Linked DNA regions of Saccharomyces cerevisiae S288C. The protein of the gene in region 1 binds, or shares a complex with, the protein of each later gene. Each region holds a gene or a part of one and is shown in the gene's direction. Other genes may lie near its edges.

Region 1 (3,572 bases):
GGCAAATATACGGGTTTGATAAATGCAGCAAAATCTGTCAATATACACCAATTCCAACTTGTTACTAGGATATTTTCTGTCTTTATATCACCATGGACAATATTCAGATTATGAATGTCCTTTAATGCATTTAACAACTGGAAAGCAATGAATTTCAGTTCAATGTCTTGTAAGTAAGGTCTCAAACTCAATCTGTCATATAAATTATTTTTTAAGTGCTGCCGTATCATGTAGCCGGCTCTATTTGTCTCGATCAATTTACTGTAGTTTAAAACGTGCGGTAGTTGTCCCAACTTAAACGATTGAGCCCTTATACGTTGGAGAAAAGGTCGTAAGCTATATTGGTCTTTTGGTTTAATAAACACTTTGATAACAATTTCGCCGTTAGGGTCCAGTGCCTTGCATGTTTTTAAGAATCTTGATGAGTTTAACTGTGAAACGTAGTGTACTTCCTCTAAGACATCGATATATGAAAAAATGGCTATGGAAGGTGATGCTTGGACCACTAGTGATAATTGTGCCCCCATTATACTGTATGCCTTCCTTTTTGATAACCTTACAGCTTTTGTATTTCTCCAATTCAACTTGTCTGCTTAAGTATCTTACTTAAGATATATCTGTTTTTCATTTTTATGATGTTGAAAAATAAGGGAAATTTACCTTGTTTTCTACCGAAGATAAAATATAACGCAGACTGCACAGAGAAACTTTTGAAAGAAGATAGATTTATATATTTTATAATACCGGCTATATGTGTATAGAAGTTAGATTTCTGAACAGTACTCTTGGCTCAAGTTTTCCAATGGTACTGTCTCGTGGAAACCACAACGCTCGGTTAAAAGCTTTAGATTGTCCTCAGAAATTTTGGCGACCTTCTCATTATATAAACCACAGTATTCAAGAGCATCCTTTGGTTTGATGGTCTTTCTACCGTCCTTAAGGACGTATTTGGTCAATGATAATGAGCATAAGACGGTGCCCTTTTTAATTGTGAATCTACTCATGACGTAAATCCATTTCTCATCCCAACAGATAATCCTTGATGAAACCGAGTACTTTTGAAAAGGCTTGATTTCCTTCAAGAAATTAGTGAAAACGTTCGCAACTGGAATATATGGATAATGCTTGGAATTCAGCATCAATTTTTGAAAAATCTTGCACATGAGATTACCTCTTGAAATGTCCAATTCCGCAAAATAGGTGCTATTGCTCTTATGAAAGTAGAAGTCACATTCGAATGGAGAGGCATAGGTATCTAGGCTGGTGTACGAGAAACAGCCATATTCATTTTTCTCAAGTTTCTTAATATTCTCGGTTTCAAACCCTGTAAACATAGGCAAGAACAAGTTTTGAATAACATAATAATAAAACCTAACAAAATATGCCCCAGGAAGCGACTTATATGAAGAGAGCAAGTAAGCAGCAAAGAGCCACCTAAAAATAGTGCAAACACCCATTATTCTATTATTTTATTTTGTTGTAGATATTGGAAAGCACTAGTTACTCGAGAAACCTTTTGGAAGTCTTGAAATTAGAAGCAATTGTTTTACAAAATTACTAAAAAGCCTTTAAGCGGATAATTATAATGTTCACTTTATAACGGCGTTATTCGAAGATCATTATTGTCTCCTATACCCAAGAGGACCGAAGCCGGGTAGCGAACTTTGTTCTGGTAAAACAATCGCTTTCAAATAGAAGAAACGTTGCTTGATGACAGCATCTCCTGCAAAAAAGAGGTTGAGAAACAAATATCTCAGCTGTTGCTTCTTGTTGATCGAGATGACTATTAGGAGCAGTATGAAAAACAACGCAGAATTGGAAAGCAAGAGTGTGTTAGCTAATGAATCGAATATAATTAGCACATTTACTAGAAGGATAATAAAGGAAAAAAGCGGTAACTATCAGGTACTGAAAAGATCCCTTGATGGAAAACTAATCTATCCTGAGGCCACTGGCATATCCTCTAACAGAGGTAACAAACTTTTGCAGAGAAGCGAAGTAGTAACAAGAAGAGACTTGAACAATTCTAAGCCAATGATTGAGCAAACTGTGTTCTATAACGGTTCGGAGCATCGCCTTCTGCAAACAAATATTGTCACTGATAGTAGACGCAAAAGAATAAAATTCACACCTGACATCAACGTCGAGCCTGTTTTAGTCGGTGATGAAAACGACATCGATGGTAGTGAGAAGGAAGACGAAAATATCACTGATGAGTATTACGGCGAAGAAGACGATGACGACCTATCAAAACTAGTGAATGTAAAGGAGATTTTGACTCCCATTCTTTCCCTAGGGGATATAATAAATCATAAAACTATCTCAAGGACATTTTCAAGCCCAATTTTGAAAAATTTAGCCTTGCAAATAATTCTAATGATTGAAAAAGAACAGATGTCAGTTGTTAGATATTCCCAGTTTTTGGAGGTTTTTTTAGGAGATCATCCTGAACCAATTTATGAATCTAACTTGAACCTACCATCTTATAATCACAATTTGACCCTTCCAGAGGATAGAGGGGCAAGCGACGAGGATGACATTAACAACAAAAACAATATCAACGAGGTTAACTCGAATAGTTTGTCTACTGAAGCTGGTCATATCAATAATGGCATGGAAGAATTTGGAGAGGAAGATCCTTTTTTTGCATTGCCAAGGTTGGAACAATCTAATGCGCTGTTATCGTTGCTGCCATCTTCTTCCGGTTCTGCTTCTATATCAACATTAACAGCGGCCGAACAACAACAGTTAAATGAGGAAATTGAGTCTGCCCGACAGCTGTCGCAGATTGCACTACAGAGGAATAAAGAATTCATAAGAAACTTACAAAAAATCAGAAAGTCTGTAATAAAAGCCAATAGAATAAGAGGTAGGATTTTAAATTGGAGTCGGGAATATTTGGGTATATCTGACGATGATATTACTATCCCGGTGGCTCTACGTGTTGTGAAGAGAGGTCTGATCAGTGCTACAACAAATAAGACAACAAATTTTGAGGAAGAAATTGAAAATACCATGGAAGACGGTGTTGTAGACGATAATGAACCTGATGAAGAAGCTAATAGAGCCTAAATTGACAAAACAAAAAATTTCGGAAATAAAATCAAGGCATATGTATTATTTAGCACTATTTAGTAATAATAACAGTATTTTAGGATGGGTTCTTTTTTTTTTTTTGTTTCACCAACCGTTTGAAGTGTAATCAATGACTTTTACGAAGTTCGGGTCTGTTTCATCATCTGTCTTATTTCTATTCTCGTTAAAGATGGGGGTAACACAGTATTTGACAGTGTCATCAAATAATTCATCAATGAGGTTCTTCAAATCTTTCCCAGTTTGTTTGAAGTCTGGGAAAGCGTTGATCTCTAGTAATTTAACTTCGTAATTCGAATCAATCAAAAAGTCTACGCCATATGTTTCAAATGCGTTTGGTAACGGTTGGAAGTTTAATCTATTTACATTTACAGCAGCTAAGAAAACGTCGTTCGTTATGCTATGGATTTGCTCCTTAATATTGGACTTTCTCTCATTTGGAATTTCCTCTATGGAGTCAAACTCCAAAACAGAAGAAT
Region 2 (5,571 bases), on another chromosome or scaffold:
GTTGATTTTACAGAAACCCAATTGATATTAGTAAATGATACTGAGCAGAAACTAAGTGCTCTAAAATATGCTAACGAAGATGAAGAATATGCATTACCTAAAATAGGGACAAATTCTGCTTTATCAATTGATCTTGAATCTCTCCCCTGCACAATTTCAAGAGATCTTTTGCGACCTGCACCTCACATCAATGATGATAATTCAATATATGCCTTTACAGACGCTGAAACTCTACTGCGCCTGGATGTCACAAGTGGATCGTTTATAACAGTGTCAAATATGGGTTGCGTCAGGCTAGTTAAGCTGTTTGTTTTACTACTCCCCAACGGCTTTAAAAAAAGAACAATATACGCACCTCCCAAAATAATAGCAAGCTTTCCAGACTGCAGCGTCGTGACAATATCAAAGTCCAATATAGGCCATACAGATATTCCCATTGCTAATCAAGTTTTCATCTCAAGAGTTGGAGGCTGGCTTCAATCTCAGAAATGCTTTCAAAATATTATTCTAACAACCTTGAAAAAGTTTTTTAGCGAGAGCAAAAGGATTCTTTGTCAAAATGATTTAATCCCAATCGCTTTTGATTCAAGTATGGCTGATCTCAATATAGCAGAGGAAAATGATGAGTCTGATGACGAAGATGAGCTAGGGCAGTACTACAAGAACGATTCCCTTGTATGGTTCTTTGTCACAAGCGCAGAGCTCGATTGCTTCTCTAAAGATAATTCTCATTTTATTATTGATCCCAATCGGACGAAGCTAATAACAACTAATATCACTAACAGAAGACCATTACCCTTGAGTAGATCCAATCTTCAGAGATATTACGGTTTTGCTGAAACTTTTTACTATGATTTGCATATCTTCCCCTATGTAAGACAATTGGTTAACATATTAGAAACTTCCTTCAATTGTTCTCAAAGGGGAATCACCCTAAATGCCTCTGTGTTACTTCATTCCACTACAAACAATGTGGGCAAGGCTACAATGGTGAGATTTGCTTCAAAATATCTTGGTATACATCTACTGGAGATAGATTGCCTTTCGCTCACTTCAAATTCAAGACAACTGGATTCAACATCTAAGATTATTGGTTACATTAGGGCTAAATGTGAAAATGTCCTACCGTACGCATCACCTGCTGTGATTTTTTTGGCTCATTTGGATTCAATTTTGCTTGACGTAAACGCTAATCAAGATCCAGAGGCAATCAAATTACAAAAATCTATAAACTTCGAAATGTCTAAACTTCTGGACGATTTTACGTTTAAATTCCCAGGAACTACATTTGTTGGCTCCGTAAATAACATAGATAACGTGCCTTCCAGCTTTAGATCACATATGAGATTTGAGATTCTCGTACCCGTTCCGTCTGAAGCACAGAGACTGCGTATCTTTCAGTGGTACTTATCTTCACATGAACTAAACAGAGATGTTCAACAAAAGGTTCCAGTATCTTACATGGATAATATTTCATTTTCATCACTCTCTTCATATTCTGCTGGTTTAACTCCTTTAGACATCAAATCAATTGTGGAAACGGCACGAATGACGGCTACTGCGCGTTTTTACCAAGAATCAAAGAAGTGTGGATGGCTTCCGCAATCAATTTTGATCACTCAGGAGGATTTATCAAAAGCTACTTCGAAAGCTAGGAACGAATTCTCGGTTTCGATTGGTGCCCCACAAATCCCTAACGTAACTTGGGATGATATAGGTGGTATTGATTTTGTTAAAGGTGAAATATTGGACACAATAGACATGCCGCTAAAACATCCTGAATTATTTACCTCAGGTATGAAAAAGAGAAGCGGTATTCTTTTTTATGGTCCACCGGGTACAGGTAAAACTCTAATGGCTAAGGCCATTGCAACAAATTTTTCTTTAAATTTTTTTAGTGTTAAAGGCCCTGAACTGTTGAATATGTACATTGGTGAGAGTGAAGCTAATGTGCGCAGAGTGTTTCAAAAGGCGAGAGAGGCTAAACCTTGTGTCATATTTTTCGATGAAATCGATTCAGTAGCACCCAAACGTGGTAATCAAGGTGATTCGGGTGGTGTTATGGATCGTATCGTTTCACAGTTACTAGCAGAGTTAGATGGTATGAGTACCGACGCTGACGGTGTATTTGTTATCGGAGCAACAAACAGACCAGACTTATTGGACGAAGCACTACTAAGACCAGGACGATTCGATAAATTGTTATATTTAGGCATTCCGGATACGGATACCAAACAATTGAATATTTTAGAGGCTCTGACTCGCAAATTCGTGCTCGACAACGACGTAAAGCTTATTGAGTTGGCAAAGCTATGTCCATTTAATTACACCGGGGCAGATTTTTATGCTCTCTGCTCAGATGCAATGCTTAACGCCATGTCAAGAATTGCACGCATGGTAGAAAAAAAAGTTTCTCAGCATAACGAATTGACGGGAGAGAATATTTCTACACGTCGCTGGTTTGATAAGATTGCGACAAAAGAGGATACTAAGGTTGTCGTAAAAATGGAAGACTTCTTGAAAGCACAAGAGCAGCTCACCCCAAGTGTGTCGCGGGCTGAACTGAATCATTATGAAGCGGTGAGAGCTAATTTTGAAGGTGCTTAAGTAATATCAACTCAGAGCGTATAGGTAAATTTGTAAATATATGTCCCATATTTTGCCTTGAAATTTATCTTTTTATTTACTTACCCTCCCCGGCTCATAGTATCTATCGAAAGGGAAAAACAGAAAAGATACTAGTAGTTGATTATACATAATAAAAATTTGAAGTAATAACCATAAAGGTTCATAAAACAATTGCGCCATACAAAACATTCGTGGCTACAACTCGATATCCGTGCAGATGGTATATGAAGCAACACCTTTTGATCCGATCACGGTCAAGCCAAGCGATAAAAGACGCGTTGCATATTTTTACGATGCAGACGTTGGGAACTATGCATATGGAGCAGGTCACCCGATGAAGCCGCATAGAATAAGAATGGCACATTCCCTTATTATGAATTATGGCTTGTACAAGAAGATGGAAATTTACAGAGCTAAGCCGGCAACGAAACAAGAAATGTGTCAGTTCCATACTGATGAATACATTGATTTTTTATCGAGGGTTACTCCAGATAATTTAGAAATGTTTAAAAGAGAAAGTGTCAAGTTTAATGTCGGAGATGATTGTCCTGTCTTTGATGGGCTCTATGAGTACTGTAGCATATCTGGTGGTGGCTCTATGGAAGGAGCTGCTCGTCTGAATAGAGGCAAATGTGATGTTGCTGTCAACTATGCGGGTGGTTTGCATCATGCAAAAAAATCGGAAGCTTCTGGGTTTTGTTATTTAAATGACATAGTACTGGGCATTATTGAGCTACTACGATACCACCCCAGAGTTCTGTATATTGATATTGATGTGCACCATGGTGATGGTGTAGAGGAAGCGTTTTATACAACGGATCGTGTCATGACATGTTCTTTCCACAAATATGGTGAGTTTTTCCCTGGCACAGGTGAACTGAGAGATATAGGGGTGGGTGCAGGAAAAAACTACGCGGTCAATGTGCCATTAAGAGACGGTATTGACGATGCTACGTATAGATCTGTGTTTGAACCTGTGATAAAAAAAATTATGGAATGGTATCAACCTTCTGCTGTCGTGTTACAGTGTGGTGGGGACTCCTTGTCCGGCGATCGTCTTGGTTGCTTTAATCTTTCCATGGAAGGCCATGCTAATTGTGTAAACTATGTGAAATCCTTTGGGATCCCAATGATGGTTGTTGGTGGAGGAGGCTATACTATGAGAAATGTTGCAAGGACATGGTGCTTTGAAACAGGTCTACTAAATAACGTTGTCTTGGATAAAGATTTACCGTACAATGAATATTACGAATATTACGGTCCAGATTATAAGTTAAGTGTTAGACCTTCGAATATGTTCAATGTAAATACTCCCGAATATCTTGACAAGGTAATGACCAATATATTTGCTAATTTGGAAAACACAAAGTATGCCCCTAGTGTTCAGTTGAATCACACACCTAGGGATGCCGAAGATTTGGGTGATGTTGAAGAAGATTCTGCCGAGGCTAAAGATACGAAGGGTGGTTCGCAATATGCGAGGGACCTACATGTTGAGCATGACAATGAATTCTATTGAAAAAAAGAGTTGGAAGTATATACGAATATAAATAATGTGAAACAAAAGAAGAAAAGTGAATAAAAGGCACTTAAGACGCTATCCAATTGTGTATGAGAAGTGCAAACTCAATTTTTTTGCAAAAGACTTTTCTCAAACCTTTAATTGATGCGTTCCGTTCATACATCAACCGCGTCCCATACGTTTCGAAGAAAATTGCCTATATGTGTTATTTACATACTAGAGATATTTTAATATTGAAACAGTTGTATTTCTATTGTAATTACTATCTAAACGTCTCGTCCCACCGCTGTTGATAAAGCGGTGCCAATATAATTTATAATCACGCCTGGGTAAATGACTTTTAATTTCTTAAATCATCGAAGTATGCGAAAACAAGAAGTCTTTATTCATAATAAAAAACAAATTCGGTTACTACGACTTTTATATGTCATTCAATATTTGGTAATAATTTTACAGTATTAACCCTATCCTCATCTGATTCACTCTCTTCTAATTGCATATATTTTCAAATTCGCTTTCAGCGCTGTACAAAACCAGTAAGCAGATCTCGTACGAAGACTCAAATAAGTTGCATTGTTCGTATTCAAGGAAACCGGGGGGCAAAATTTCCAACCATATTTAAGTATGACAATATTTCCAAGTCAAGGATGCATGCTGTTCTTCTCTTCATTAACTAGCTAACCAATTAGCTGAACGGCTTTGTATTTTACTTAACATATTGTCTATTGCATAAAAAACCACTATTCAGCATGACTGACTTGTTTAAACCTCTACCTGAACCACCTACCGAATTGGGACGTCTCAGGGTTCTTTCTAAAACTGCCGGCATAAGGGTTTCACCGCTAATTCTGGGAGGAGCTTCAATCGGCGACGCATGGTCAGGCTTTATGGGCTCTATGAATAAGGAACAGGCCTTTGAACTTCTTGATGCTTTTTATGAAGCTGGAGGTAATTGTATTGATACTGCAAACAGTTACCAAAATGAAGAGTCAGAGATTTGGATAGGTGAATGGATGGCATCAAGAAAACTGCGTGACCAGATTGTAATTGCCACCAAGTTTACCGGAGATTATAAGAAGTATGAAGTAGGTGGTGGTAAAAGTGCCAACTACTGTGGTAATCACAAGCGTAGTTTACATGTGAGTGTGAGGGATTCTCTCCGCAAATTGCAAACTGATTGGATTGATATACTTTACATTCACTGGTGGGATTATATGAGTTCAATCGAAGAAGTTATGGATAGTTTGCATATTTTAGTTCAGCAGGGCAAGGTCCTATATTTAGGAGTATCTGATACACCTGCTTGGGTTGTTTCTGCGGCAAATTACTACGCTACATCTCATGGTAAAACTCCTTTTAGCGTCTATCAAGGTAAATGGAATGTATTGAACAGGGACTTTGAGCGTGATATTATTCCAATG
Region 3 (5,329 bases), on another chromosome or scaffold:
ATTAAAGATTGGCAACCTTTATCCTGGATTTTGGAAAGCCGCTGTGACACTCGTCATTTTGAGACAATGTGTCATGCCAATTTTTGGTGTCCTATGGTGTGATCGGTTAGTGAAAGCTGGATGGGTTAATTGGCAAGATGATAGAATGCTACTATTTGTTATAGCAATCAGCTGGAACTTGCCAACGATGACTACCCTTATATATTTCACCGCCAGTTTTACGCCGCCAGAAACAACTGCGCCAATCCAAATGGAGTGTGTTTCATTTTTCTTAATGCTGCAATACCCGCTAATGGTTGTTAGCTTGCCATTTTTAGTGTCTTACTTTCTGAAAGTACAGATGAACCTTTAGTTTTAATCCATTAAACAAAAAATTATTACCACTCCTAATCACTGTTTTAGGGTGGGTTAAAATTAACATTCTCCATTTTTATATAGAACTAATAAAAAACACCTACTTATAGACACGACCAAACTTTCCACAACCTTTCATCAGAGAGAAATGTTGATCAAGTTGAATGCGTGAAAGTAGCAATTCGAAACAACAACTACCTGTCATTCTGCATAGTAGTAGTTACGAAAGGCACAGAAAATAACAAAAAAAAAAAAAAAGTCAATTTTCTACGGTCTCCATCCGTACCTCTTTAAATCCGTACATTATTGTTTTGCTTAATTTCAATATTTCGGAAAAAGCGAGCGCCCTGGTAAAATGTGGTTCAAGCCTGCGAGCCTTTGCTTGGTAACTCACCAAATGCAATTCAGTCACGTTCCACACAGTTTGGGTTTCCAGCCTGGCTTTAGGGAAGAATGGGCTCACTAGGCGTTCATAATACGCGGAGGGGGAAATACCAAATGCTATTGATTATGGTTAAAATATGTGTTATTTGACTTTGTATATACAAACAGAAGAGAAACCAACACACTAAAGACTAGACACATAACTGACCAATGTCCTCTGTCCAATCCAAGATCTTATCCCAAGCTCCAAGTGAGTTGGAATTACAAGTCGCCAAGACCTTCATCGATCTAGAAAGCTCCTCTCCAGAACTAAAGGCTGACTTGAGACCATTGCAAATCAAATCTATCAGAGAAGTATGTTAAAAGTTATATAATTTGGAAGCAGCAACATTGTGATTTCTTCTAAAGGGGTTCTTTGCAGTAATTTTTTCAAAAAAGAGTGATTTTGAGCAGTATCTGTATGAAATTTTCATGTGTTCGAGAAAAATAGTAATTCCGAGAGCTGTCAATACCATGAACGTTGCGATGAGCCTTTGAACTATAAAGGCCTCCTTGGTCAGTACCAATATCGATGAATAAAATAGAAGCACGCGAAAAAGACCTTACCCCAAGGAGAAGAATCACAAACCCTTTTTTGTTATGAATGAACCAATTCAGTTACTAACTTTATTTCAACGCTGCTTGATTCTTATTGTTTAGATTGATGTCACCGGTGGTAAGAAAGCACTAGTCCTTTTTGTCCCAGTTCCAGCTTTGTCTGCATACCATAAGGTCCAAACCAAATTGACCCGTGAATTGGAAAAGAAATTCCCTGACCGTCATGTTATTTTCTTGGCTGAAAGAAGAATCTTGCCAAAACCATCTAGAACATCTAGACAAGTCCAAAAGAGACCAAGATCCAGAACTTTGACTGCTGTTCACGACAAGGTTTTGGAAGACATGGTTTTCCCAACTGAAATTGTCGGTAAAAGAGTTAGATATTTGGTTGGTGGTAACAAGATCCAAAAGGTTTTGTTAGACTCCAAGGATGTTCAACAAATCGACTACAAGTTGGAATCTTTCCAAGCTGTCTACAACAAGTTGACTGGCAAACAAATTGTTTTTGAAATTCCAAGCCAGACCAACTAAATAGTGAGATAACTATCATTCTCATCATTTGTCATACTTAAAGAAAATAATATTAAGAAAAAATAATAAAAAAAGAAACATAGTTATGAGAATACAAAAGGAGGTTTCCAAAAAGTGGGCTTTTTTAATTCGAGTAAAATAATTATGAATGTATACTTAAATATATTTTGTATCTGTCAATATAGAGATGCTTTAATTGGTGTTTTGACATTTTGGAATACATATTGGGTTGATTTCCCAAGTTCTCGCTGCAATCAGATAAAAAGGAAAAAAAATAATGGTTGCTAAGAGATTCGAACTCTTGCATCTTACGATACCTGAGTATTCCCACAGTTAACTGCGGTCAAGATATTTCTTGAATCAGGCGCCTTAGACCGCTCGGCCAAACAACCACTTATTTGTTGAAGAAAAAGCATTATTTATCGCTAGACAACGATACGTCCATCAACAACCGTTAGTTCTTTCACATTGATATGCGGATTACTTATCTGAAGGAAAGGAAAAAGGCGTGGAACAAGTGAGCATTAACATAACCATCTGAAATCTTAGATGATCCCAAGTATGTGTAATTAGATCCGCCTCTTCGCCCAGCACATTGTCCATGCATTATCTGCTTACCTCTACGCGTACCTTGACATGGCGTGTTACGTGTTTCAACTTTGTATAATCAGAATTTCATTTGAGTATATTTTACAAGTCAAAAGCCCAAATGACGTATACTTGAAATAATTGAGGCACGTCCAATTGTGAGTGGCAAACCTTTTTTTCGGTATTCTAGATAGAGCTAATCGCGTATTTGCAATTATAGTTTACAATTCTTAGACGATTTCCGAAGAAAGTTAAAAATGCCCTTGAAAAAAAAATATGTAGGAAAGAGTGCATGCACATGAAGAAGAAAGAAAGAGCTAGGGAAAAAACGAAAAAGGAGCCTAAGGAAAAGAGTTAGGCGTTTACAACAGGACGAACCCGGAAGGAGAAAAGTTTGTAGTCTTGCAGTATCACAAACAGCAACCACGTTCATAGTCTGAAATACGTACAAATGAGTTCACCAGCGAACCTATTCCCTGGATTAAACGACATAACTGACGTGCTGGAGGAATTCCCACTGGCCACCTCCAGATATTTAACATTACTACACGAAATAGATGCAAAATGTGTGCATTCTATGCCGAATTTGAACGAGAGGATAGATAAGTTCTTGAAGAAAGACTTCAATAAAGATCACCAAACACAAGTAAGACTGCTCAATAATATCAACAAGATTTATGAAGAACTGATGCCATCGCTGGAGGAGAAAATGCATGTCTCATCCATTATGCTGGATAATCTAGACAGATTGACGTCCCGGTTAGAATTGGCGTATGAAGTCGCAATCAAGAACACAGAAATTCCTAGAGGTTTAAGACTGGGTGTGGACAACCATCCAGCAATGCACCTCCATCATGAACTAATGGAAAAAATAGAGAGCAAATCAAACAGCAAATCGTCGCAGGCACTGAAGAGCGAATCAAGAAGAGAAGCCATGGCTGCCAACAGGAGGCAGGGCGAACATTACTCCGCCAGCACACACCAACAAGACGACTCAAAGAACGACGCAAACTACGGAGGCAGCAGGCACGAGAGCCAAGACCACACTGGTAACAACACAAACTCAAGAAAAAGAGCCAACGCTGCCAATACCAACAACGCCGATCCAGAGACCAAAAAACGCAAGAGGAGAGTTGCCACCACAGCCGTTTCACCAAGCACTATCAGCACGGCAACTGCCGTCAATAATGGCAGGATAGGTACATCTACAGCGTCCAGGGGAGTTAGCAGCGTCGGAAACAGCAACAACAGCAGGATATCAAGACCAAAAACCAACGACTACGGCGAACCGCTCTACTGCTACTGTAACCAAGTGGCATACGGGGAAATGGTGGGGTGTGATGGCGCAGACTGTGAGCTAGAATGGTTCCATTTGCCATGTATTGGACTCGAAACTCTACCTAAGGGCAAGTGGTATTGCGACGACTGCAAAAAAAAACTGTGAAATAGCTCTCGGGCGAATATCGCCTTAAGGAAATATCTACTAAATACCGAATATATACATATATATATATCTTAGCTACATATATATATATCTTAGCGTTTTAACGGGCGTGGCCGTATCAATGGATCTGCAAGATACTTGGGCCCTACCGGTCTAGATAAAATATTCAAATCGATGGTGATGACGGCACGATAAAACGTAATAAATGATGAAATGACTTGTCACGGCGTAGCAGCGCCAGCAGCTCAGTCTAATCGCCGTACAGTGGGTGGTGTGGCTAATCGCTTAGGCTTTTTATTCAGAAGGACCTTTTCATTCACCTCGCCCCCCTTGGAGGTTCCTGCCTGACCCCTTTGCCCCTGGCCTCGCCCCTGCGCCATGTCTCTGCCTGGAGCGTGACATTTAGGACGGTGAAGCTAGGCAGGCCTTCAGAAATTAAACGGAACATGACAGCAAAGACGAAACAAAGCTGGAATAAGGGGATCTGGGAAAACGGGAAACAAGGTTCACATCAGCAAACATTTCTACCGAAAATCTGGGTAAACATTTATAGTACCCCAACATCTTAAGTTTTAGCCGTTGTCTTCTCTTATCGCCTAGAATCGCTCATTTCAAGCGTAACGCAATCCGGCTTTTGTTTTTTTTCCATTTTATTCATCCACTCTTTATCTGACTCTTCTGCACTATATTAATCAACTAGGAGAAAATTACTTGAGCAGAAAGATACGAGAGAATTACGGATAAAAAAACCAAGTTAACCGTTTTCGAATTGAAAGGAGATATACAGAAAAAAAAATGCCTTTGAACAAGTCGAACATAAGAGAGTACAAGCTAGTCGTCGTTGGTGGTGGTGGTGTTGGTAAATCTGCTTTGACCATACAATTGACCCAATCGCACTTTGTAGATGAATACGATCCCACAATTGAGGATTCATACAGGAAGCAAGTGGTGATTGATGATGAAGTGTCTATATTGGACATTTTGGATACTGCAGGGCAGGAAGAATACTCTGCTATGAGGGAACAATACATGCGCAACGGCGAAGGATTCCTATTGGTTTACTCTATAACGTCCAAGTCGTCTCTTGATGAGCTTATGACTTACTATCAACAGATATTGAGAGTCAAAGATACCGACTATGTTCCAATTGTGGTTGTTGGTAACAAATCTGATTTAGAAAACGAAAAACAGGTCTCTTACCAGGACGGGTTGAACATGGCAAAGCAAATGAACGCTCCTTTCTTGGAGACATCTGCTAAGCAAGCAATCAACGTGGAAGAGGCGTTTTACACTCTAGCACGTTTAGTTAGAGACGAAGGCGGCAAGTACAACAAGACTTTGACGGAAAATGACAACTCCAAGCAAACTTCTCAAGATACAAAAGGGAGCGGTGCCAACTCTGTGCCTAGAAATAGCGGTGGCCACAGGAAG
Region 4 (5,417 bases), on another chromosome or scaffold:
TACAGACGAAGATTGGGATTACATTTCTAACATTTTCCAGAAAATCATTAACGATAATCAAGATTCTGTCAAGTTTCTGGCAGTTGATTGTTTAATTTCCATCTTGAAATTTTTTAACGCTAAAGGTGATGAGTCTCACACTCAAGATTTATTGAACTCTGCTGTCAAATTAATTGGTGACGAAGCGTGGAGGGTACGTTACATGGCTGCCGATAGATTTTCAGATTTAGCCTCGCAATTCAGTTCCAACCAAGCATATATCGATGAATTAGTACAACCATTTTTGAACCTTTGTGAGGACAACGAGGGAGATGTTAGGGAAGCTGTGGCTAAACAAGTTTCTGGGTTTGCCAAGTTCCTAAATGATCCTTCAATTATATTGAATAAGATCTTACCTGCTGTGCAGAATTTGAGTATGGACGAAAGTGAAACAGTGAGATCTGCTTTGGCTTCTAAGATTACAAATATTGTATTACTGTTGAATAAAGATCAAGTCATTAACAATTTTCTTCCGATTTTACTGAATATGCTAAGAGATGAGTTCCCTGACGTTCGTTTAAATATCATTGCCAGCTTGAAGGTTGTCAATGACGTAATAGGAATTGAGCTGCTATCAGACTCTTTGTTACCTGCCATAACAGAATTAGCCAAGGACGTGAATTGGAGAGTTAGAATGGCTATAATTGAGTACATACCTATCTTGGCAGAACAATTAGGTATGCAATTTTTTGACCAACAGTTAAGCGATTTATGTCTTTCATGGTTGTGGGATACTGTTTATTCTATCAGAGAAGCCGCAGTGAATAATTTAAAAAGGTTAACGGAAATATTTGGCTCTGATTGGTGTCGTGATGAAATTATTTCAAGACTGCTCAAATTTGATCTACAATTACTGGAAAATTTTGTCTCGAGGTTCACAATACTCTCTGCTCTAACCACTTTGGTGCCCGTGGTATCGTTAGATGTCGTTACTGAGCAACTATTACCATTCATTTCTCACTTGGCTGATGACGGTGTTCCAAATATTAGGTTTAATGTGGCCAAATCCTACGCTGTGATAGTGAAGGTTTTAATTAAGGACGAGGCCAAATATGATGCATTAATTAAGAACACAATTTTACCCTCATTGCAAACGCTGTGTCAAGACGAAGATGTTGATGTAAAATACTTCGCTAAGAAAAGTTTGGCAGAATGTCAAGAACTTTTAAAAAATTGATACTAGTTCAAATATATACATACATACACATATGTACACTTGAATGAATAAAAAGTATACATATTAACAACTAGGCCTGCTTTCTTTTCTTTTCTTTTTTTTTTTTTTTACCACACTTAGTCCTCTACTTTAACAGAAATATCATTTTCCAGTTTGACCATAGTTTCTTCAACTGTTTTCTCCTCGTGTTTAACATTGATTTCCGCCTCCACGTTCAGTTCACGTTTTCCTTCCAGGTATTTCACCCACTTTGGATAACTCATGATATTTTGCTGGATTTCCTTGTACAATTGAGACTGCAAATCCCAATCTAAGGAGCTTCTGGGATCATCCGGTGGCAAGAATTGTAACATGTCACCAAGGTTCCTCGATTTAGTGATTATTTGTCCAAATCCAACCAGCAACCCATTTATTTCTGTCCAAAGCCCCTTAGGCAGCCAATTTTGTAATTGAGTTCTTGTCTGATCTGGAGTCTTGCATTTCTGCGCATCTACCCATTTCCAAAGCTTGGTCAATCTATCCACGTGAACGTCAACGCAGATACCTTCAATCTTGCCCCATGCCTTTTGTAATGTTAGATAAGCCATTTTGGGCCCTACACCGGGCAGGCCCAATAGCTCATTAATCGTAGCTGGAACATCACTCGAAAACTGATCTTGAAGGATTTTGCAGGTTGACAAAATATACTTGGCCTTCCTTGTGTGGAACCCAACTGAATGAATCAATTCGTCTAATTTGGTCTCATTGATTTGTAAAACGGCCTCTAATGTCATACCTTCTTCGCTGTGCAGTTCGTCTATACAATACCGCATTATGTTAAGCATTGCCATTGCGGTAACTTCATCTTTTGTTTGCGATGATAGCATCACCCCAAGAAGGACCTGTAATCTGTAGTCCCTCGGTGATATCTGCTCTTTCGAGATACCACACTTAGAGGCAACCGTTACAGGAATGGATGATCCACCAATTATATCGACGGGGGCTAGAATCTTAGATCTCAGTACTCGCATTCTAGCGTATGTTTCTTGAAACTTGTAAGGGACTTTCGTCGAGGCCGGAGTGACAAGGATCGAGGGGTCCAATGGTGTGGCCCACCTGTTGGGCACATTGCCGTTTCTAACCACAATCCATTCGAAGTACTGCTTATTTGGCAGCGATTTAACCCAGTCGATATCCACGGGTTGAGGGACAACCTCTTCTTGTTTGATTTTGGTCCTTTTCTCCGGTAGGAGTTCTGATTCTGGCCCAGTTTCAGTCTTTACCAGCGGTCTTTTCCTCAGAATTGCCATAGATGAGTATTTACTGATCTTTTGCATATTTTTTTTTTTTTTGGGCTATAAAGTATATATAGATACAAATATATGATGAATCATTAAAGAGGAGGTTATTACTAAGTGAAAGAAAAAGAAAAAAAAAAAGATCAAAACCAAACTTCGTATTCGAGCCTAAAAAACAGAATATAATGTTATAATACTAATAGAAGCAACAGGAGCACCACTATCAGCACAAGAATAATCACGCAGTTGCCGTTATCCTTGAACCTAGAATTGTTAAAGCCATGCATGGACCGAGAGGCCCTGTTCAAATTCCTACCATTATTATCAATCAGGTTTTCTAAATCAACCAGCAGCGAGTCGTTCTGAGAAACGATCTCATTATTAAGGTCCAGCGAAATGTCATGAGTCCTCCCAATAGACTGAGACAGTGCGCCCAAGTGGGAATCTTGCTCTAACAACTGCTGTTGCTGGTTAATAAATAGTTCTTGGTTGGAAACCATGGGTTGTGGTGGCTGTGGCTGTGACTGTGACTGTAACTGCGATTGCAATGGTTCATCCTTGTATGGAGTATGCGTCGAAGGCAGCGGCGACTCCTCGTCTTGTTCATCGTCATCCTTATACATGACCGTAAGCTCGTCATCATTCTTGAACCGCACTTTTTTCAAAGACTCTTTGGACACCTCATCAGTATTTCTTGCCACCTGCTGTTGGAACCTATACAACTCCTTGTCAACCGCCGTATCAGGAATTTTGTCCAGTATGGTATTGTATCGGGATATTAGTTCATCATTGGGCGCACACTTCTGCAATAACTCCAATATTGAGCCCAATTGCCGTTTCAAAGTAACGTTATCGTTTGAGGTCGGGGCGAGCTTCAACACCGACACTAGCCTTGTTCTTTCTTCGACCAGATCAGAGAGCTGGTCCAGTTCATAACCCAGCTTCAACACATCCATACCGTGTGTGCTTACGCATCTATTTGCTGTCGTGAGATCTGTCTCTATGCTTTATTCGTTTTCCATTGTAAAGTCTCAGCATTTATTTCTTGTTCTTTACTTGTTTTTGCCCTTTCGGGTGATCAAAGTCGTGCTGGGAAATTTTATTCTTATAAAATGATTTTTAGAAATAATAAACTCATAACAGTGCAACGGCAAAGTACAAGGGAAGGAAGCACAGAAGCAAGAGGAGGCGCATCGATCGTGGCAGATGAGTCAGCAAACACCACAGGAAAGTGAACAGACCACAGCGAAAGAACAGGACCTTGATCAAGAGAGCGTGTTGAGCAACATTGACTTCAATACGGATTTGAATCACAATTTGAATTTATCGGAATACTGTATATCCAGTGACGCAGGAACAGAGAAGATGGATAGCGACGAGGAGAAGTCGTTGGCCAATCTGCCGGAGTTGAAATACGCTCCCAAGCTATCCAGCCTGGTGAAGCAAGAGACGCTCACCGAGAGCTTGAAAAGACCACACGAAGATGAGAAAGAGGCGATAGATGAGGCCAAGAAGATGAAAGTGCCGGGAGAGAACGAGGACGAAAGCAAGGAAGAGGAAAAGAGTCAAGAACTGGAAGAGGCAATTGACAGCAAGGAGAAGAGCACCGACGCCAGGGACGAGCAAGGGGACGAAGGTGATAATGAGGAGGAAAACAACGAGGAGGATAATGAAAACGAAAACGAGCATACAGCACCGCCTGCGCTGGTGATGCCCTCCCCCATCGAAATGGAGGAACAGAGGATGACTGCGCTGAAGGAAATCACCGACATCGAGTACAAGTTCGCGCAATTGCGCCAAAAACTATATGACAATCAATTGGTGCGGTTGCAAACGGAGCTGCAGATGTGTCTGGAAGGGTCACACCCGGAATTGCAGGTCTACTACTCGAAGATTGCCGCGATCCGTGACTACAAGCTACACCGAGCGTACCAGCGACAGAAGTACGAGCTTTCATGCATCAACACAGAAACAATCGCTACCAGGACATTCATTCACCAGGACTTCCACAAGAAGGTCACCGACCTGCGAGCCAGGCTGCTGAACAGAACCACGCAGACCTGGTACGATATCAACAAGGAGCGCCGCGATATGGATATAGTCATCCCAGATGTCAATTACCACGTCCCCATCAAACTTGATAACAAGACGCTGAGCTGTATCACGGGCTACGCCAGCGCAGCACAGCTGTGCTATCCCGGCGAGCCCGTGGCAGAGGACCTCGCTTGCGAAAGCATCGAGTACCGCTACAGAGCCAACCCGGTGGACAAACTCGAAGTCATTGTGGACCGAATGAGGCTCAATAACGAGATTAGCGACCTCGAAGGCCTGCGCAAATATTTCCACTCCTTCCCGGGTGCTCCTGAGTTGAACCCGCTTAGAGACTCCGAAATCAACGACGACTTCCACCAGTGGGCCCAGTGACCGCCACACTGGACCCCATACCACTTCTTTTTGTTATTCTTAAATATGTTGTAACGCTATGTAATTCCACCCTTCATTACTAATAATTAGCCATTCACGTGATCTCAGCCAGTTGTGGCGCCACACTTTTTTTTCCATAAAAATCCTCGAGGAAAAGAAAAGAAAAAAATATTTCAGTTATTTAAAGCATAAGATGCCAGGTAGATGGAACTTGTGCCGTGCCAGATTGAATTTTGAAAGTACAATTGAGGCCTATACACATAGACATTTGCACCTTATACATATACACACAAGACAAAACCAAAAAAAATATGACTCTACAAGAATCTGATAAATTTGCTACCAAGGCCATTCATGCCGGTGAACATGTGGACGTTCACGGTTCCGTGATCGAACCCATTTCTTTGTCCACCACTTTCAAACAATCTTCTCCAGCTAACCCTATCGGTACTTACGAATACTCCAGATCTCAAAATCCTAACAGAGAGAACTTGGAAAGA

What was found.
Region 2: the proteins of RXT2 (region 1) and RPD3 are in contact, whole or in part, in a cryo-EM structure (PDB 8GA8), measured with the Saccharomyces cerevisiae proteins. Residues at the interface, in NP_009653.2 of Saccharomyces cerevisiae: Ser61 (codon at 1,960), Ser62 (codon at 1,963), Arg64 (codon at 1,969), Arg77 (codon at 2,008), Arg78 (codon at 2,011), Asp79 (codon at 2,014), Leu80 (codon at 2,017), Asn81 (codon at 2,020), Asn82 (codon at 2,023), Ser83 (codon at 2,026), Met86 (codon at 2,035), Ile189 (codon at 2,344); in NP_014069.1 of Saccharomyces cerevisiae: Gly37 (codon at 2,954), Pro39 (codon at 2,960), Asp109 (codon at 3,170), His151 (codon at 3,296), Gly159 (codon at 3,320), Phe160 (codon at 3,323), His188 (codon at 3,407), Glu213 (codon at 3,482), Phe214 (codon at 3,485), Phe215 (codon at 3,488), Gly217 (codon at 3,494), Arg280 (codon at 3,683), Leu281 (codon at 3,686), Tyr340 (codon at 3,863).
Region 3: the proteins of RXT2 (region 1) and PHO23 are in contact, whole or in part, in a cryo-EM structure (PDB 8HPO), measured with the Saccharomyces cerevisiae proteins. Residues at the interface, in NP_009653.2 of Saccharomyces cerevisiae: Pro168 (codon at 2,281), Ile169 (codon at 2,284), Leu170 (codon at 2,287), Ser171 (codon at 2,290), Leu172 (codon at 2,293), Ile175 (codon at 2,302), Ile181 (codon at 2,320), Thr184 (codon at 2,329), Phe185 (codon at 2,332), Ile189 (codon at 2,344), Leu190 (codon at 2,347), Leu193 (codon at 2,356), Gln196 (codon at 2,365), Met200 (codon at 2,377), Lys203 (codon at 2,386), Ser207 (codon at 2,398), Arg210 (codon at 2,407), Tyr211 (codon at 2,410), Gln213 (codon at 2,416), Phe214 (codon at 2,419), Val217 (codon at 2,428), Phe218 (codon at 2,431), Glu224 (codon at 2,449), Asn298 (codon at 2,671), Ala299 (codon at 2,674), Ser302 (codon at 2,683), Leu303 (codon at 2,686), Gln323 (codon at 2,746), Glu327 (codon at 2,758), Ile328 (codon at 2,761); in NP_014302.3 of Saccharomyces cerevisiae: Leu7 (codon at 2,924), Phe8 (codon at 2,927), Leu11 (codon at 2,936), Asn12 (codon at 2,939), Ile14 (codon at 2,945), Thr15 (codon at 2,948), Leu18 (codon at 2,957), Glu19 (codon at 2,960), Phe21 (codon at 2,966), Pro22 (codon at 2,969), Thr25 (codon at 2,978), Leu29 (codon at 2,990), Leu32 (codon at 2,999), His33 (codon at 3,002), Asp36 (codon at 3,011), Met43 (codon at 3,032), Leu46 (codon at 3,041), Asn47 (codon at 3,044), Ile50 (codon at 3,053), Asp51 (codon at 3,056), Phe53 (codon at 3,062), Leu54 (codon at 3,065), Lys55 (codon at 3,068), Lys56 (codon at 3,071), Gln63 (codon at 3,092), Gln65 (codon at 3,098), Val66 (codon at 3,101), Leu69 (codon at 3,110), Asn70 (codon at 3,113), Ile72 (codon at 3,119).
Region 4: the proteins of RXT2 (region 1) and DEP1 are in contact, whole or in part, in a cryo-EM structure (PDB 8HPO), measured with the Saccharomyces cerevisiae proteins. Residues at the interface, in NP_009653.2 of Saccharomyces cerevisiae: Asn40 (codon at 1,897), Tyr41 (codon at 1,900), Glu88 (codon at 2,041), Val91 (codon at 2,050), Phe92 (codon at 2,053), Tyr93 (codon at 2,056), Asn94 (codon at 2,059), Glu97 (codon at 2,068), His98 (codon at 2,071), Arg99 (codon at 2,074), Leu100 (codon at 2,077), Leu101 (codon at 2,080), Gln102 (codon at 2,083), Thr103 (codon at 2,086), Asn104 (codon at 2,089), Ser157 (codon at 2,248), Val160 (codon at 2,257), Val162 (codon at 2,263), Lys163 (codon at 2,266), Leu166 (codon at 2,275), Thr167 (codon at 2,278), Pro168 (codon at 2,281), Ile169 (codon at 2,284), Leu215 (codon at 2,422), Leu219 (codon at 2,434), Asp221 (codon at 2,440), His222 (codon at 2,443), Ile226 (codon at 2,455), Tyr227 (codon at 2,458), Glu228 (codon at 2,461); in NP_009389.3 of Saccharomyces cerevisiae: Tyr242 (codon at 4,423), Gln243 (codon at 4,426), Gln245 (codon at 4,432), Lys246 (codon at 4,435), Leu249 (codon at 4,444), Ser250 (codon at 4,447), Asn253 (codon at 4,456), Thr256 (codon at 4,465), Ile257 (codon at 4,468), Arg260 (codon at 4,477), Thr261 (codon at 4,480), His264 (codon at 4,489), Gln265 (codon at 4,492), His268 (codon at 4,501), Thr272 (codon at 4,513), Arg275 (codon at 4,522), Leu279 (codon at 4,534), Asn280 (codon at 4,537), Thr283 (codon at 4,546), Gln284 (codon at 4,549), Trp286 (codon at 4,555), Tyr287 (codon at 4,558), Asp288 (codon at 4,561), Cys341 (codon at 4,720), Glu342 (codon at 4,723), Ser343 (codon at 4,726), Ile344 (codon at 4,729), Arg362 (codon at 4,783), Leu365 (codon at 4,792), Ile369 (codon at 4,804).

Annotation. Positions count from the first base shown.
Region 1 is NC_001134.8:433,906-437,477, reverse strand, and holds RXT2 (Rxt2p), read left to right. Parts: upstream 1-1,779; coding exon 1,780-3,072; downstream 3,073-3,572. Other genes in the region: ubiquitin-binding serine/threonine protein kinase VPS15, read right to left, coding at 1-527; YBR096W (uncharacterized protein), read right to left, coding at 765-1,457; PBY1 (putative tubulin tyrosine ligase), read right to left, coding at 3,181-3,572. UniProt on the Saccharomyces cerevisiae protein: Component of the RPD3C(L) histone deacetylase complex (HDAC) responsible for the deacetylation of lysine residues on the N-terminal part of the core histones (H2A, H2B, H3 and H4).
Region 2 is NC_001146.8:16,577-22,147, reverse strand, and holds RPD3 (histone deacetylase RPD3), read left to right. Parts: upstream 1-2,845; coding exon 2,846-4,147; downstream 4,148-5,571. Other genes in the region: PEX6 (AAA family ATPase peroxin 6), read left to right, coding at 1-2,607; AAD14 (putative aryl-alcohol dehydrogenase), read left to right, coding at 4,900-5,571. UniProt on the Saccharomyces cerevisiae protein: Catalytic component of the RPD3 histone deacetylase (HDAC) complexes RPD3C(L) and RPD3C(S) responsible for the deacetylation of lysine residues on the N-terminal part of the core histones (H2A, H2B, H3 and H4).
Region 3 is NC_001146.8:439,935-445,263, reverse strand, and holds PHO23 (Pho23p), read left to right. Parts: upstream 1-2,905; coding exon 2,906-3,898; downstream 3,899-5,329. Other genes in the region: YNL095C (uncharacterized protein), read left to right, coding at 1-352; 40S ribosomal protein eS7 RPS7B, read left to right, coding at 949-1,092, 1,438-1,866; PLS1 (Pls1p), read left to right, coding at 4,345-4,467; Ras family GTPase RAS2, read left to right, coding at 4,694-5,329. UniProt on the Saccharomyces cerevisiae protein: Component of the RPD3C(L) histone deacetylase complex (HDAC) responsible for the deacetylation of lysine residues on the N-terminal part of the core histones (H2A, H2B, H3 and H4).
Region 4 is NC_001133.9:125,571-130,987, forward strand, and holds DEP1 (Rpd3L histone deacetylase complex subunit DEP1), read left to right. Parts: upstream 1-3,699; coding exon 3,700-4,917; downstream 4,918-5,417. Other genes in the region: protein phosphatase 2A structural subunit TPD3, read left to right, coding at 1-1,216; bifunctional N-glycosylase/AP lyase NTG1, read right to left, coding at 1,333-2,532; SYN8 (syntaxin), read right to left, coding at 2,682-3,449; cystathionine gamma-lyase CYS3, read left to right, coding at 5,229-5,417. UniProt on the Saccharomyces cerevisiae protein: Component of the RPD3C(L) histone deacetylase complex (HDAC) responsible for the deacetylation of lysine residues on the N-terminal part of the core histones (H2A, H2B, H3 and H4).